Linked DNA regions of Macaca mulatta. The protein of the gene in region 2 interacts with the protein of the main gene of each other region in a pairwise test. Links are inferred from orthologs where the notes say so. Each region holds a gene or a part of one and is shown on either strand. Other genes may lie near its edges. The genes, in order: AURKB and SEPTIN1.

Region 1 (8,543 bases), on a different chromosome or scaffold from region 2:
AGATTCTGGTTATTGGATCAGGGATATAAGCATGTGACTTCAGTGGACCAGCTAGTGGGAATCACTTTTCTTGCTCAGAATGCTGGGCAGCTCAAGGAAGCACTTAACGTTTACTGGTTTATCATAAAGTGTATTTCAAAGGATATAGATGAAAAGAGGTATAGGGCATGGTATGGAGGAAGGGATTTCTGGAAGTGAGCAGGGAAGCATGCAGCCCTCATTGCTGCTTCTAGTGCTACTGAAGGAAGCAGCTTGACATTGAAGCCTAACATTGCAGAAGGCAGAAGAGAGGCCTGGAAAGCACTCCAGGACTTGATGACATTGTCTGCATGCCTCTGCATGCCTCCATTAGCACTTTTCCTACACGAACAATAGATATTCTTCCTGAATGCATTCTAAATGCTATTTTCCGTTTAAAGCATACCGTGTAGAAAAAACAAACCATGGCTGGGCTTGGCGGCTAATGCCTGTAACCCCAGCACTTTGGGAGGCCAAGGCAGCTGTATCACTTGATCCCAGGAGTTTAAGATCAGCCTGGGCAACATGGTGAAACCCCGTCTCTACAAAAAACACACAAAAAATTAGCCGGGTATGGTAGTGTATGCCTCTAGTCCAAGCATACACTTGGCCTCTAGTCCAAGCTACTTGGTAGGCTGAGGCAGGAGAATCAGCAGAGCCCAGAGGTCAAGGCTGTGGTGAGCCATGATTGTGCCACTGCACTCCAGCTCCGACATGAGAGTGACACCCTGTCTCAATAAAAACAAAAAACGGGCCGGGTACAGTGGCTCACACCTGTAATCCTAGCACTTCAGGAGCCCCAGGAGAGTGGATTGCCTGAGCTCAGGAGTTCAAGACCACCCTGGGCAACATGGTGAAACCCATCACTACTAAAATACAAAAAATTAGCCAGTTCTGGCCAGGCGTGGTGGCTCATGCTTGTAATCCCAGCACTTTGGAAGGCTGAGGCAGGCGGATCACGAGGTCAGGAGTTCAAGACCAGCATGGCCAACACAGTGAAACCCCACTCTACTAAAAATACAAAAATTAGCTGGGTGTGGTGGCAGGAGCCTGTAATCCCAGCTACTTGGGAGGCTGAGGCAGGAGAATCGCTTGAACCCGGGAGGTGGAGGTTGCAGGGAATCGAGATCGCACTACTGCACTCCAGCCTGGGTGACAGAGCTAGACTCCATCTCGAAAAAAAAAAAAAAAAGGCCAGTTGTGGTGGCAGGTACCTGTAGTCCCAGCTACTCAGGAGGCTGAGTGAGGCACAAGAATTGCTTAAACCTGGGAGTGTTGCAGTGAGCTGAGATCACGCCACTGCACTCCAGCCTGGGCAACACAACAAGAATCTGTCTAAAAAAAAAAAAAAAGGCCGGGCGCGGTGGCTCAAGCCTGTAATCCCAGCACTTTGGGAGGCCGAGACGGGTGGATCACGAGGTCAGGAGATCGAGACTATCCTGGCTAACACGGTGAAACCCCGTCTCTACTAAAAAATACAAAAAACTAGCCGGGCGAGGTGGCGGGCGCCTGTAGTGCCAGCTACTCGGGAGGCTGAGGCAGGAGAATGGCGTGAACCCGGGAGGCGGAGCTTGCAGTGAGCTGAGATCCGGCCACTGCACTCCAGCCTGGGCGACAGAGCGAGACTCCGTCTCAAAAAAAAAAAAAAAAAAAAAAAAAAGACCCAATTTTTCCTCTGCCCTCACACCACAGCAATCAACACAGGAGACTTCTGCGACCACATGTGTGGGGATTTTACTCCACTACCAAGCAAGCAATAGTTCTGCAGCAGCCATCAGCCGGGAGTCTTCCAATTCGATTCTGACACTATCTACCTGGAGAGAGCATCAGATCCCACAGGTTGACGGCTTAGTCCCACAAGGCTGCCCCTCACTTTGGATGCCAACCACAAGCCTCAGGTTGTTTTACCTGTACTTATGACTAACTAGGTATAAGTTGGGGTTTCTACAATTCTCTCTTTATGTTCAATGAATTTGCTAGAGTGGCTCACAGAACTCAGGGAAAAATGTTCACTAGTTTATTATAAAGGATTTTTTTTTTTTTTTGAGATGGAGTCTCTCTGCCGCCCAGGCTGGAGTGCAATGGCGCAATCTCGACTCACTGCAAGCTCCGCCTCCCGGATTCAAGTGATTTTCCTGCCTCAGCCTCCCCAGTAGCTGTGACTACAGGAGCCCGCCACCACGCCTGGCTAATTTTTGTATTTTTAGTAGACATGGAGTTTCACCACGTTGGCCAGGCTTGTCTTGAACTCCCATCCTTGTGATCCATCCACTTCGGTCTCCCAAAGTGCTGGGATTACAAGCCTATATTCCCAACACTTTAGGAAGCTGAGGCGGGAGGATCACCTGATGTCAGGAGTTTGAGACCAGCCTGGCCAACATGATGAAACCCCGTCTCTACTAAAAATATTTTTTAAATGGCTGTGCATGGTGGCTCACGCCTGTAATCCCAGCACTTTGGGAGGCCGAGATAGGTGAATCACCTGCACTCTACTGCACTCCAACCTAAGTGACAGAGTGAGACTCCATCTCAAAAAAAAAAAAAAAAAGAAGCTAGTTATCAACTACCACTACATGACCAGTTAGAGAAACAAGGACTGTAAGTGTATTTCCCTTTTTTTTTTTTTTTTTTTTTTTTGAGACGAAGCCTCACTCTGTCCCCCAGGTTGGAGAGTAATGGCATGATCTCAGCTCACTGCAACCTCCGCCTCCCAAGCTCAAGTGATTCTCCTGCCTCAGCCTCCCAAGTAGCTGGGATTACAGGCATGTGCCACCATGCCTGGCTAATTTTTTTGTATTTTTGGTAGAGATGGGTTTCACCATGTTGGCCAGGCTGGTCTCAAACTCCCGACCTCAGGTGATCTGCCCTCCTTGGCATCCCAAAGTGCTGGGATTATAGGCATGAACCACCCCGCCCCACCGGTTTTGTTTTTCGATTTACTGGAAGCAGCCAAAAGGCACGTGGTCCTGGGCTTCTAGTGACTGCTGGGAAGTCTGGAGAAAGGTAGTATTTGTATTTAATATCCTTGTGTTCAGTGTTAAGTAAACATACATAGAACAGCAGAGATTATTAAAAACATTTAAAAAGGCTGGGCACGGTGGCTCACACCTGTAATCCCAGCACTTTGGGAGGCCCAGGCGGGCGGATCACCAGAGGTTGGGAGTTCGAGACCAGCCTGACCAATATGGAGACACCCCCTCTCTACTAAAAATACAAAATTAGCCGGGCGTGGTGGTGCATGCCTGTAATCCCAGCTACTCGGGACGCTGAGGCAGGAGAATCCTTTTGAACCCATGGCTGGAGGTTGCGGTGAGCTGAAATAGTGCCATTGCATTCCAGCCTAGGCAACAAAAGAGAAACTCCATCTCAAGGGAAAAAAGATACAAACAAACAATAATAATTGAAAAAAATTCTTAAAAAATTTCCATACAACAGTAATTTTTTTAATTTTTAAATTTATTTTTACTTTTATAGACTTTAGGGGTACATGTGCAGTTTTGCCTCAGGGATATATCACATAGTGCTGAAAGTCTGTACCCAACTGAAATTGTACCCAACTTCTGAATAACGTTCACATTTGTCTCATTCCCCTCCTATCCTTCTACTGAGGAGGTTTTTTTTGTCCTGTCCCTAAAAATGTCACCGTAAATCTATTTGATTAGGGAAAACAATGTTTGGTTTGACCCCGACGTGATTTGAACACGCAACCTTCTGATCTGGAGTCAGACGCGCTACCGTTGCGCCACGAGGCCTGCCCGAGAGGGTGACTTGAGGGGTCTCTTGAACAGCAATAAGGGGAGGACTTTTGTCATGAAGCCGTATCTTTAAGATTTGTCAGCGCATTTCTGCGAGGCACCAGCTGACGAGATGTGGGCGCACGTACGTAGGAATCTGAATAAATAATAAAGAGGCAAATTGTGTTTAGGCGCATTTGACTTAGGGCCCAGTTCCTTAACTTGAATCACATTGAGCTCATTGAGCCCACTCTACAGAGAAGCGATTTTTATGCGTCTAGGACTCTTTTTTTTTTTTTTTTCTGGAGATGATAAATCATCATGATGCCGCTGCAGTTCTCGCCCCCTGGAGAGATCTTAGATGTAATCCCAGCTCTGCCGGTGACTCAACTTCTTTGGACCTTGGTTTCCTCGTCTGTAGACTGGGCATAACCCTACAGGTTCATGTGGGGTGGCGCGCACTAGCGGTAAAGGTCACGCACAATTGCGCCGGGCAGACGACAGCAGCCATTACTTTTACCTGGATCTCGCTGATGCTGTTTCCCTGGCTCCGCACGGGTCCAACGCGACTCACCGCAATCAACATGAGGTATGAAAGAAAACAGCAGTACCTAAGCGTTGGTGGTATAGTGGTGAGCATAGCTGCCTTCCAAGCAGTTGACCCGGGTTCGATTCCCGGCCAACGCAAGTGCATTTTGAATTTTTTTTTTTCCCTCTTTTCTTTCTCGTGTTTTCTGGGCCCCACCATCGTTGAGGATTTTCGTGAGGTTTTCCTGAGGAACCGTCCTCTCCGAAAGAACCCGCTTTCCGCTACACCTGCGACCACTGCCGGACCACCGCGCTCCTGGCGGATGCGCCCTGCAAGCCCCTCCAGGTGAGAGCAGCCTGTCGGAATTTCGGCCCGGGGTTGCCTACTGTTCCCGGATCGCAGTGCGAATCCACAAAACGCAGGGAGGTGAAAGGAAACAAAAGCCCGGGCTCTGCACCCTGGACAGCCGGGGGCCAAATGGCTGCTTGCCCAGGTTCAAGCAGAGACTGGAAATGCGCACTGCCGTCAAGGAGGGAGCAAGCTAGATCAAGTTTGAGCACTAATGAACATATTGAGCGGAGGAGATAGTGGCCACTTTAGGTACACGTTTGAACTCCAAGTTGCTTGAACTAAAATGGAAACTTAGAATGCGAGCTGGAGAGGTAGGCCAAACTTTCCTCCCCTCCTCCTTTCCCTCTTTTTTCTAGCTCCATCCCAGGGGCCAGGACGGATTTAATGAAAGCAAAATCATTTGGATTCTCCCCCTCGGGGAATGGAACCCCGGTCTTCCGCGTGACAGGCGGGGATACTCACCACTATACTAACGAGGAGTGACCCGTCAATGGTCGTCTCCAAATCCTTGATCTGGGACTTTACACTCGGCTTGCTGACAGCAGAGTTCCTAAGGGTTCTGTTCTTCCGACCACCGAGAAAAGCCGACCAGAAACTGTAGGTGTATTTCAGGCACCCATCGTCAGACGGAGTGACCGAAAGAGACAGAGTACCTCCAGGGCTGCAGAGAACCAAGTTCTGACAGTTCCTGGGCTCTCCCGAACACTGTCATCCACAACTATAGATTGATGGGTGTCAATCAAACCGAAACCAGGCTGTAGTGGCGGAGTTGAGACACCACGCAGGAAGTCAAGAAGCAGAAAGGGAGCGTCCTGCCCAAGTCTGGGCGTGCCTCGTCTCTTCCTGACATGCCAGGCGGGTCTGGGGACTGAGATTCTTTCTGTTACCCCGGTGCCACAAAAGAGCTTACTGTACATTGATGATTTCCAGTGAAGCCTCCTGCAGCGCTGGTCAGGTAACACATTCCTTGAAGACACTCTTATTTCAGCAAAACGTAAAGGAGGGCTCGTCCGGGATTTGAACCCGGGACCTCTCGCACCCGAAGCGAGAATCATACCCCTAGACCAACGAGCCGACGTACGAATGCCGTTGCGAACCGCCCTAGAGGTCGTGCCAGGCTAGCTGTAGTGCCGGGTCCACTATGCATGGCAGAACGGTCCTGGCGCCGCTCAGGAACCAGCCTCCCCCAAGCCTAGTATTTTGGAGCACGGGTCTGGGAGTCCCTTGGCTCTGGGCCGCCAGCTCCAACTCCTCCCAGGAAATAGCGTCGAGGAAGTGGAAGGGAGTGGCCTCAGCCTAGCCCCCGCGCCGCCCTGGAGGACTGCCTTGAACACCCGGGTTCCTGCTTCCTTTGGTCACCGACTCGGTGCCATTCCGTAACCTGGGATCTTGACAATTCCCGCCTCCGCCTGCGGTCCTTGGACCTAGTCCTTCGTTGCAGAGCTTTGAAGAGAAGCGGTGGAGTTGCTTGCTTTCGGGACGGGTCGGAGACAGTTAATGAGCCTTGAAATCACTAGGGGAACACCAGTTCCCCGTGTCTGTCTATCCTCCTGGGCTAACGGGCAGGGCAAACCCCGGGCCAGACCCGTCGATAGACTACGGGTTCCCCAGACCGCGTGGCAGTGCCCAGGCGAGGGAAAGAGGGAACGATTTCTGGGGCCCAGGAGACCCACGGTGGAGGGCGTTATTGATCTGGGTGACTGGAGTGGGACAGGCTTTCCACCCTGCAGTGGGGCGGGGCGCAAGGCCAGGCGACTAGTCTCGTGGCTTCTGGACTGTAAGATCAGGTTACCCCTACCCTCCGGTCTAACCTCTGCTCTCCAGTCCCCTCCTAGAATGGCCTAGAAGGAGACCTTCCTGCCTGCCTCCTAAGACCCCCCCGAAGGCTCTGAGGCAAGTGGCCTCACGAGTGTGGTCTAAGACCTGTAGACCCGGTTTGGGGACTTAGCAGTACTCCGGAGCTGCCCAGAGTCCCAGAAGATCTGGTGGAGTCAGTAGCAGACCACGTGTTCTGCCTTTCCTCAGCTCAGTGCCTGTTCTGGGGAGTCCTCCCCGCGGGGTTCTGGCCTGCATCGGTCCTGGACCAGCCTGGTAGCATCTCTGGAACCATTTTGTTCTACACCCCAGTTATGTGATTTGTGGGGCCAGGCCGTTCCTAACGCCCAACCCATAGATACGTTGACGGGGCCTTCAGTGAAGGATTCAGCTCCTATTTGTCCTTTCCCAGGTGTCCCTGGGCAGACAGTGGGGAAGGGCAGAAGTTAGCCCAGTCTTTCCCATTAGTGTCCTAAGTCTTTGAGACGGGTAAAGAGGTTCTCAGGGCTGATCTGGCATCTCCTCCCCCATCCCTACCCTTTTCCAATTCCTGTCTCCCTCCCCTTGGGCTCCAGCTTTCTCTGCAAAATAATCCAGTCACCTCTTTCTTCCCTGGTCTGAAGAACTTAATCTCTGCAGAAGGGGAGGCCTAAATCCTTTATGACCCTTATGAAAGCTATGACCCTCTTCCCCGGGGGCGGTGGCTCACACCTGTAATCCCAGCACTTTGGGAGGCTGAGGCGGGTGGATCACAAAGTCAGGAGTTCAAGACCAGCCTGGCCAAAATGGTGAAACACCGTCTCTACTAAATATACAAAAATTAGCCCGGCACGGTGGCACGCGCCTGTAATCCCAGCTACTTGGGAGGCTGAGGTAGGAGAATTGCGCAAACCCAGGAGGCAGAGGTTGCAGTGAGTCAATATCGTGCCACTGCACTCCAGTCTGGGTGACAGAGTGAGATTCCATCTCAAAAAAAAAAAGCTATGGCCCTCTTCCTAGATATGTATACAATCCAGAGAGTTCACACATACCCTGAAATCCCATCCGCATACCCCACACTTTTATTATTTTAAAAGTGCGTACATAGACCCCACTTTTAGACCCATCTTACGTTGGTTTGTGGGCCATGGAATTGTGTCGAGAGCTTTCTGCCTATCTTCCAAGGAGGTTTAGGTCCTGCCAAGACCCCACAGATCCTATTTCTTGCCTTCTCTCCTGCATTTATTTCTACCTTAACCAGCCTAGCTTCAGTGCTCCAGAAGCGTGCCCTGCCCTTCCACACCAGGCTTCCTAGGGACTCCCGAATGACACGCTTTCTTGTCTCTGTCCACATGGCCTTAGGTTTCCGCACCCTCCTGCAGGAAACCTGGTGCCAGGCCAAGCCAGCCGGATCCCTGCTTACTCCTTACCCTGACATCCCGCTAGTGGAGAGGGATGGAGGTAACTGCATGTGAAAGACCAGTTAGAGAACCGCATCTAGAAGCTGTGCCAAATTTTAAACACTGTATATATAAATATATATTACATACTATATGTATAATATAAAATTATGAGCCACCAAACCCAAATAAACATAATGAAGAGCCAAACAAAACAAAGTGGCTCAGGTTCTAGGGAATGTCCTAGGGTAGGGAAAGAGGCCTGGAAGGTGGGCAGCCTCTTCCGTCAAGGGTAGGGCAGCCACCAGACCCAGTCCACCTGCACCAGTAGGGTGTGGCATCAGTTGGGCAAAGTACCCTTACGCCTATGCAGCATTTCTGCCCCAGTTAGAGAACCACCTTTTAGAGTGGCGATATCATAGGAGTGGCAAGTCGACTCAGCAGGAAATTTGGGTGCTCTGAGTGCAGAACAGAAACTCTTGCGCGTTCTGATATAAAAACAATCCATGAATCTATTAAGGGATGAGGATTCAGCTGCAAAATTACGCTATTTCAATTGAATAAAGGCACCGCTGGGATTCGAACCCAGGATCTCCTGTTTACTAGACAGGCGCTTTAACCAACTAAGCCACGGCGCCAAGGCTGCCCTTAAGGATTTTGAAATTCGTCTACAAGAATATACTGCGGGGAACCTGGACCCAGGTTTTTCAGACCTAA
Region 2 (8,650 bases):
TGGCGTGAACCCGGGGGGCGGAGCTTGCAGTGAGCTGAGATCAGGCCACTGCACTCCAGCCTGGGTGACAGAGCGAGACTCCGTCTCAAAAAAAAAACAAAAAAACAAAAAAAACATGTTATTCTGTCAAAGGCTGTTGAATAACTCAGAGAAGAATTGATCAGGATCTGAACCCAAAGCAGGTTAATGGCATGGAGAGTGTGGAGAAAAGGGGACCAATTTTTCTGAAGGATAGGCGGGAATTGGAAACTCACTGGAAACACTTGCGGGGAGTGAGGGTGGGAGGAGTTCAGATTTTTTTTTTTTTGAGACAGAGTCTTGCTCTGTCGCCAGGCTGGAGTGCAGTGGTGCGATCTTGGCTCACTGCAACCTGCGCCTCCTGGGTTCAAGTGATTCTTGTGCTTCAGTCTCCCGAGTAGCTGGGATTACAGGCATGTGCAACCACACCCAGCTAATTTTTGTATTTTAGTAGAAACGGGGTTTCACCATGTTGGCCAGGATGGTCTCGATCTCCCGACCTCCTGATCTGCCTGCCTTGGCCTCCCCAAATCCTGGGATTACAGGTGTGAACCACCATGTCCTGCTGAGTTCAGAATTTTAACTAAGACCATAGAGATGCTCAGCCTGGTGAGAGATGCAGGAGGAAGGCCGGTGGTGGAGTGCTCAGAGGTAACATGATCCCTGCCCTTTGCTTATTTATTTATTTATTTATTTATTTATTTATTATTTGAGAAAGAGTTTTGCTCTTGTCACCCAGATTGGAGTGCAATGGCACGATCTCGGCTCACTACGACCTCCGCCTCCCAGGTTCAAGTGATTCTCCTGCTTCAGCTCCTGTGTAGCTGGGATTACAGGCATGCGCCACCACGCCCGACTAATTTTGTATTTTTAGTAGAGTCAGGGTTTCTCCATGTCGGTCAGGCTGGTCTTGAACTCCTGACCACAGGTGATCTGCCCGACTTGGCCTCCCAAAGTGCTGGGATTACAGGAATGAGCCACCACGCCCGGCATATTTATTTATTTTTTTGAGATGGAGTCTTGCCCTGTCGCCCAGGCTGGAGTGCAGTGGCAGGATCTTGGCTCACTGCAACCTACGCCTCTCAGGTTCTAGCAATTCTCCTGCCTCAGCCTCCCTAGTAGCTGTGATTACAGGCACGCACCACCACACCTGGCTAATTTTTGTATTCTTAGTAGAGACGGGGGTTTCACCATGTTGGCCAGGCTGGTCTCCAACTCCTGAACTCAAGTGATCCGCCTGCCCTGGCCTCCCAAAGTGCTGGAATTACAGGCGTGAGCCACTGCGCCCAGCTACCCTTTCCAGATTCTTAACAGTCCCTAGATGGTATTAAGTAGCATTTTTGTTTGTTTTTGTTTTTTGAGACGGAGTCTTGCTCTGTAACCAGGCTGGAGTGCAGTGGCATGATCTTGGCTCACTGCAACCTCCACCTCCTGGGTTCAAGCAATTCTCCTGCCTTAGTAGCTGGGACTTAGTACCTTAGTAGCTGGGACTACAGGCACACGCCACCATGCCCAGCTAATTGTTTGTATTTTTAGTAGAGATGGAGTTTCACCATGTTGGCCAGGATGGTCACGATCTCTTGACCTCGTGATCTGCCCAACTCGGCCTCCCAAAGTGCCGGCATAACAGGTGTGAACCACCGTACCCGTCCTGGGGTAGATTTGTTTGCTTGTTTGTTTGAGATAGGGTCTTGCTCTGTCGTCCAGGATGGAGTGTAGCAGTGCAGTCTCGGCTTACTGCAACCTCCATGTCCTGGGTTCGAGCAATTTTCTTGCCTCAGATTCCCAAGTAGCTGGAATTATAGGCACACACCACCACGCTTGCTAATTTTTGTATTTTGCTAGACAGGGTCTCGCCATGTTGGCCAGGCTGGTCTTGAACTCCTGACCTCAAGTGATCCACCCACCTCGGCCTCCCAAAGAGCTGGGATTACAGGCATGAGCCACCATGCCCAGCCTGGTGCTGGGAATCTGAAGAAGGAACAATGACCCTGCCTATGGTAGGTGGGGAGATTGCATAGAGGCAGAGCCCTTGGAAAGAAACACTTGAAGGATGAGGAAGAGTTTAACTGATTCGGAAAAAGGAAAAGCTCAATGTGGGTAGAGAGCCAAGGATGTTTGGAAGAGTGAGAGATGGGGTGATGAGGCCAGCTGAAGGAGGCTTTGGCAGTCAGGCCAGAATTCCGACTTGACTCTGAGTTACTGGGGAGTTCCTAAAGGATTTCGAGCAGCGGAGTTCCTTGGCCAGGATTCTGAAGGAAAATCTCTCCGGCAGTGGTTTCCAAAGATCTGGAGTCCTTTTATGAATCCATTGTCTTAGCTGGAAAATGGATGGCCTTACCCACTCCCAATCCCATCATGGCTTCTGGTCCACTTAAACCATGAGAATTTTTTTCTTTTTCTTTTTTTGAAACAGGGTCTTGCTGTGTTGCTCAGGCTGGAGTGTAGTGGTGTGATCACAGCTCACTGCAGTCTTGATCTCCTGGGCTCATGCAATCCTCCCACCTCAGCCTCCCCAGTAGCTGGGACTACAGGATTGTACCATCATGCCTGGCTAATTTTTAAAGTTTTTGTAGAGATGGTAGAGGGGCACATCCCTCTGTTGCCCAGGGTGGTCTTGAGCTCCTTGGCTCAAGCAGTCCTCCCTCCTCTGCCTCCCAAAGTGCTGAGATTACAGGCGTGAGCCACCTTGCCTGTCCTGGGAACTGGTTTTTAATCAGCTCATCAAAACCTTCATCTCACTTGCTAACAAAGGGAGCCGCTTCCTTCCTCTCTGCACATACCCCATGTCTCACCATGATAATGGAGTTACAGTGGGACTTGGAATCCAGATGTGTGAAAGATGGAGGGGTTGAAGGTGCATAGAGGGGTGATGGGCAAAGGGGTCCAGGAGGTGATAACCCCAGGTATTCTTGGCCTTGGCCTTCCCCACCTCTCTGGGACTGGGCCAGTTTGAGCATCTCAGCTGCCTCTTCTGCCCGCCCACTCGTTAGCCGCACTCAGCTTCCTGCCCCACCAGAGGAAGTGGGGAGAGACGGCAGGTGCAGTGATGGCTGGCGGAGTCATGGTGAGTCCTCATGCCCAGAAACCCAGGCATCTCGGCCCCCAGCCCCCTATGCCTAGGGTCCCCAGACCCCACTGACTCTTCCTAGCCCAGGAACTCAAATGATCCTGGGGACCCTGCCTGCCATTGCCAGCAGCCTCATATTGTCCACCCCCATCCACAGGACAAGGAGTACGTGGGTTTTGCTGCCCTCCCCAACCAGCTGCACCGCAAGTCTGTCAAGAAGGGGTTTGACTTCACACTAATGGTGGCAGGTCTGGGGGGTTTTGGAGAGGGAACTGCAGAGAGGATGCCCTTAGGAGACCCTGGTTGTCCCCTCCCCTGACCAGCTGGGCCTGTTCTGTCCACAGGGGAGTCAGGCCTAGGGAAATCCACCCTCATCAACAGCCTCTTCCTCACCAACCTCTATGAGGATCGCCAGGTGCCAGAGGCCAGTGGTAAGACCCTCCCCACCCTCCCCAGGCAGTGGCCCCTGTCCCCAGGTTACACCCTAGTCTTTTCCATCTGGGGACTCAGGTAGTTGACTACTTTTTTCTGAGACTTTCCTCCCCTGGAAAATGGGTGCAGGCAACTGTGATATTAACAAAGGAAATTAATCTTGCCTCAGAGCCTCCCTGGATCCCTGACCTCTCCCCCCTCCCACAGCTCGCTTGACACAGACCCTGGCCATTGAGCGCCGGGGTGTGGAGATCGAGGAAGGAGGTGTGAAAGTGAAGCTAACCCTTGTGGACACACCTGGCTTTGGGGACTCAGTGGACTGCTCTGACTGGTGAGGAAGAGGGAAGGGGACAGAGGCTCAGCCTCTCACAGTGGCGACTCCCTGAAGACCAACGGGTCAGTTACAGGGCTGGTTTGTGCTGGCTCCCTATTCCAAAAGGTTGTGTCTGTTTCAGAGGGTCACTGGGTCTCTGTGCTTCTTGATGACTCGCCTAGGCCCCCACCAGTTCCCTTTAATGTCTTTGGAGGGAGCCAAAGAAATGATGTTCTATTCCCACAGTCCTGGCTAGCCTCGCCCCCTGCCCTCTGGCCTTTGATCTCTGACTTCACATCCTCTTCCCACACCCAGCTGGCTTCCCGTGGTGAAATTCATCGAGGAGCAGTTTGAGCAGTACCTTAGGGATGAGAGTGGCCTGAACCGGAAGAACATCCAGGACTCCCGCGTCCATTGCTGCCTCTACTTCATCTCACCCTTTGGCCGGGGGTCTGGTGGGGGGATCCTGGGGGCTGGGGCATTTAGGGAGGGCTGGGGGGGTCTCTGCCCCCTGAGGCTGGGCACTGACCAATCCCTGGGTGCAGGCTCCGGCCCCTAGATGTGGCCTTCCTTCGGGCGGTACACGAGAAAGTCAACATCATCCCAGTCATTGGCAAAGCGGATGCCCTGATGCCCCAGGAAACCCAGGCCCTCAAGCAGAAGGTGTGAGTGATGACCTCTGGCCTTTGACCCCAAGTGAGGCCAAACCTGATTTCAGCTTAGACTTCTTTGATCTTATTATTATTTTTTTTTGAGACGGAGTCTCCCTGTGTCGCCCAGGCTGGAGTGTAGTGGCGTGATCTCGGCTCACTGCAAGCTCCGCCTCCCAGGTTTTCACCATTCTCCTGCCTCAGCCTCCTGAGTAGCTGGGACTACAGGCGCCCGCCACCGTGCCCGGCTAGTTTTTTGTATTTTTTAGTAGAGACGGGGTTTCACCATGTTAGCCAGGATGGTCTCGATCTCCTGACCTCGTGATCCGCCCGTCTCGGCCTCCCAAAGTGCAGGGATTACAGGCTTGAGCCACCGCGCCCAGCCGACTTCTTTGATCTTAAAGTGGCCTTTTTGGAGCATAGTGTCTCAGGCTAGATTGTAGGAGAAGCTTCTGAGGAATGTGGGTGGTAAGCTGCCAGCCAGCGTAGCCATGTCTCTGAAGGCTCAAAATAGGCTAGATATGCAGCCCCTGGGCTAGATGCCTGGCTAAGGCCTATTTGAGGGCGGGAGCATAGACATAAGAACATGGTGACTTCCATCTGGCCCCCACCCCGTGTCTTCAGAGCCCTTTTCCACTGTTTCTGCTTATATATCTCTCAGCCTCTCTCTCTTTTTTTTTTTTTTTTAGATAGAGTCTCACTCTGTGGCCCAGGCTGAGTACAGTGGCAAGATCATAGCTCACTGCAGCCTCAAATTTGTAGGCTCAAGTGATCCTCCTGCCTCAGCCTATTGAATAGCAGGGACTACAGATGAGCACCACCATGCCCAGCTAACATTTTTGGCTGGGCGTGGTGGCAGACACCTGTAATCCCAGCACTTTGGGAGGCTGAGGTCAGTGGATTACTTGAGCTGAAGAGTTTAAGACAAGCCAGGGCAACATGGCAAAACCCCATCTCTACAAAAAATATAAAAATTAGCCAGGTGTGGTGGTGTGCACTTGTAGTCCCAGCTATTCAGGAGGCTGAGATGGGAGGATCACCTGAGCCTGTGAGGTTGAGGCTGCAGTGAACCAAGATGGAGCCACTGGACTCCACCCTGGGTGATAGAGTGAAACCTTGTTTCAAAATATATATATATTTTTAGGCCGGGCGCGGTGGCTCAAGCCTGTAATCCCAGCACTTTGGGAGGCCGAGACCGGCGGATCACGAGGTCAGGAGATCGAGACCATCCTGGCTAACCCAGTGAAATCCCGTCTCTACTAAAAAATACAAAAAACTAGCCGGGCGAGGCGGCGGGCGCCTGTAGTCCCAGCTACTCGGGAGGCTGAGGCAGGAGAATGGCGTGAACCCGGGAGGCGGAGCTTGCAGTGAGCTGAGATCCGGCCACTGCACTCCAGCCTGGGCGACAGACCGAGACTCCGTCTCAAAAAAAAAAAAATAAATAAAAAAAAATAAAAAATATATATATATATATATATTTTTTTTCTTTGTAGAGATGGGATCTAGCTATATTGCCCAGGCTTCTCCTGGTCTCTTAATGTCTGCCCCATATTAGAATCTTGTGTTTCTCACCATCTATGTCTCTGAGATTTTGTTTTTGTCTTCCTGTACGTCCATCTCTCCCCATCTCTGTCTTTCATGTCTTTCTGTCTCTGACCAGCCAGTATCTCTGTGTCTCCCTGTCTCTGGTCATGCAATGTCTGTCATTGTGGCCTGTTTCACACTGTCTCTGTATCTGTTTCCCCTGAGATCCGGGATCAGTTGAAGGAGGAGGAGATCCACATCTACCAGTTCCCTGAATGTGACTCTGACGAAGATGAAGACTTCAAGAGGCAGGATGCAGAGATGAAGGTGTGGGAGACAAAGAAGGAAGGCAGGCTGGGCACGGTGGCTCACGTCTGTAATCCCAGCACTTTGGGAGGCTGAGGCAGGCGGATCCCCTGAGGTCAGGAGTTCGAGACCAGCCTGGGCAACATGGCGAGACCCCGCCTCTACTAAAAACACAAAAATTAGCCAGGTGTGGTGGCGGGCACCTGTAATTCCAGCCACTCGGGAGGCTGAGGCAGGAGAATCACTTGAACACTCCAGCCTGGGCAATGGAGCGAGACCCTGTCTTAAAAGAAAAAAAAAAATAAAGAGGAAGGGGCAGGAAGCAGAGGAGGTGGGTGTGGAGATTGAAGCTGGGAAAGAGAAAGTTTCTGCCATGTGGGCCAGCGGTGACCCCTGCCCCCTGCCCTCCAGGAAAGCATCCCTTTTGCAGTCGTGGGTTCATGCGAGGTGGTGAGGGATGGCGGGAAGCGACCGGTGAGGGGACGCCGCTACTCCTGGGGGACCGTGGAGGGTGAGTGAGGCCAGGCAGGGTTCCTAAGGCCAGCAAGGAGCCCGGGGCCTCTGGGTCAGGCGCACTCAACATGTGAAGTTGGGGTGGGCTTTGGTCCCAGGGGATCCTAGGGGGAAAGGGGTTCTCCTTTCCATGGGCTGCAGACCGCGGACCCTCCGCCAGAGTGGCAGCAGGACTTCCCTGTTGACCCGACCCTACGGGTGGGTGGGACCCGAAACTCCCTGACGTTCGCTGGTCCGCGCCGCCCCCCCTCCAGTGGAGAACCCACATCACTGCGATTTCCTGAACCTGCGACGGATGCTGGTGCAGACACACCTGCAGGACCTGAAAGAGGTGACGCACGATCTGCTCTACGAGGGCTACCGGGCCCGCTGCCTACAGAGCCTGGCCCGGCCTGGGGCTCGCGATCGAGCCAGCCGCAGGTGAGACCCGGGGCCGACAGTCTCGGAGCCTCCAAGGTCCCGCCTCACCCAAGACCCTGCCCTGAGGCCCCGTCCCCACCACCCGTGAGTCCGCCTTCACCACTCAGACCTCTCTCTCCCTCCCTCCCTCTCTCCCTCCCTCCCTCTCTACCTTCCTCCCTCTCTCCCTCTCCCTCTCTCCCCACCGGCTTTGCCTCCGGCCCTAACCTCAGGGACCTGGCTCCGCCTCCTAGACCCCAACCTCACCCCAGGCCCTGCCTCCTGGGCCTCACCCACAACCTCAGGCCCTGCTCCTGATTCCTGTCCCCTTCCCACTGTCCCGCAGTAAGCTTTCCCGCCAAAGCGCCACGGAGATCCCGCTGCCCATGCTGCCTCTGGCGGACACCGAGAAGCTGATCCGCGAGAAAGACGAAGAGGTGAGCATGCACCTCGCTTCCCCCCGACAGAGGCCCCAGGTCCCTCGCTGGCCTCGCCAGGTCACCGCCTGCAATCTCGCCCTGCACAGCTGCGCCGCATGCAAGAGATGCTAGAGAAGATGCAGGCCCAGATGCAGCAGAGCCAGGCCCAGGGCGAGCAGTCAGACACCCTTTGAGGCCACGCCCCGCCCGGCCTTACCTCGGCTCCGCCTTCAGTCGGCCTCTTGTCCAATCCCCGCGCCCCACACTGCCCAGCGCCCCCTGGAACCCCGTGGGTGCCGCCCTCGCGCGGGCTAGGGGGAGGTTCTACCAGCCCGGGCCCGTAGCCCCGCCCCGGCGCTGGTCCCGCCCACCCAGACACCGCCCACTTCCCGGCCGGAGCCTGCGGCCCAGTCTCCGACCGCCCCACTGTCTTCCGGGGTGCCCCCCTCTTCTCCCAGACTGTCTTCAATAAAAACTGAGCTTCCCGCGGCCACGCGAGCCTTCTCCTTCCTTGCGGAAAAAGGCGGCGGGCGTAGATTGTGGGGCCGTCCCCCGCAGGCCTCCAGGCCGCATCCATCCCTTTGTGGGGCGCTCCCACCTGAGGCCCTCGCGCAAACACTCTGAAGGCGCCCCCCCATAAGAAACAAAGACCAGTTAAATTTTATTGGGAGCCGGGGTGGGGGTCGGGCCGAACGGAAGCGTCAGCCAGCAGAGGCCCGCGGAAGCCCCTACTCCTGGTCCTTGGCGTCGCCGTGCGTGATGACGTAGCAGATGTTTTTGTAGTCGACGTTGCCGCCCACGTCGGGGGGGAAAGCAGCCCACATGTTCTTGATCTGGGGAAACACGCAGGGGCGTCTCGCACCGGCCGTTAGGCTTCCCTCCCCCAGCCCCTTTGCTGCTCCGGCCCCGCCGCGGGGCCCACTCACCTCCTCCGGGGTGAAGCGGTCACACTGCGTGGTCAGCAGCTCCTCCAGGCTGGAGAGAGGTGATACACGGGGAGTTGCGA

What was found.
Region 1: the proteins of SEPTIN1 (region 2) and AURKB interact in binary tests that used the Homo sapiens proteins (3 or more experiments, as listed by UniProt). The link is inferred for Macaca mulatta from reciprocal best matches to the Homo sapiens genes SEPTIN1 and AURKB.

What each region holds. Positions count from the first base shown.
Region 1 is NC_133421.1:9,724,292-9,732,834, forward strand, and holds the start of AURKB (aurora kinase B), read right to left. Parts: upstream 5,899-8,543; 5' UTR 5,095-5,898; intron 4,440-5,094; exon of another isoform or gene 4,368-4,439; intron 3,910-4,367; exon of another isoform or gene 3,699-3,909; intron 1-3,698. UniProt on the Homo sapiens protein: Serine/threonine-protein kinase component of the chromosomal passenger complex (CPC), a complex that acts as a key regulator of mitosis.
Region 2 is NC_133425.1:28,983,122-28,991,771, reverse strand, and holds SEPTIN1 (septin-1), read left to right. Parts: upstream 1-2,792; 5' UTR 2,793-2,814; coding exon 2,815-2,875; intron 2,876-3,001; exon of another isoform or gene 3,002-3,011; coding exon 3,012-3,085; intron 3,086-3,245; coding exon 3,246-3,336; intron 3,337-3,432; coding exon 3,433-3,519; intron 3,520-3,727; coding exon 3,728-3,851; intron 3,852-4,148; coding exon 4,149-4,283; intron 4,284-4,378; coding exon 4,379-4,496; intron 4,497-6,232; coding exon 6,233-6,334; intron 6,335-6,724; coding exon 6,725-6,824; intron 6,825-7,080; coding exon 7,081-7,246; intron 7,247-7,571; coding exon 7,572-7,662; intron 7,663-7,751; coding exon 7,752-7,838; 3' UTR 7,839-8,135; downstream 8,136-8,650. Other genes in the region: MYL11 (myosin regulatory light chain 11), read right to left, coding at 8,373-8,477, 8,571-8,619. UniProt on the Homo sapiens protein: Filament-forming cytoskeletal GTPase. May play a role in cytokinesis.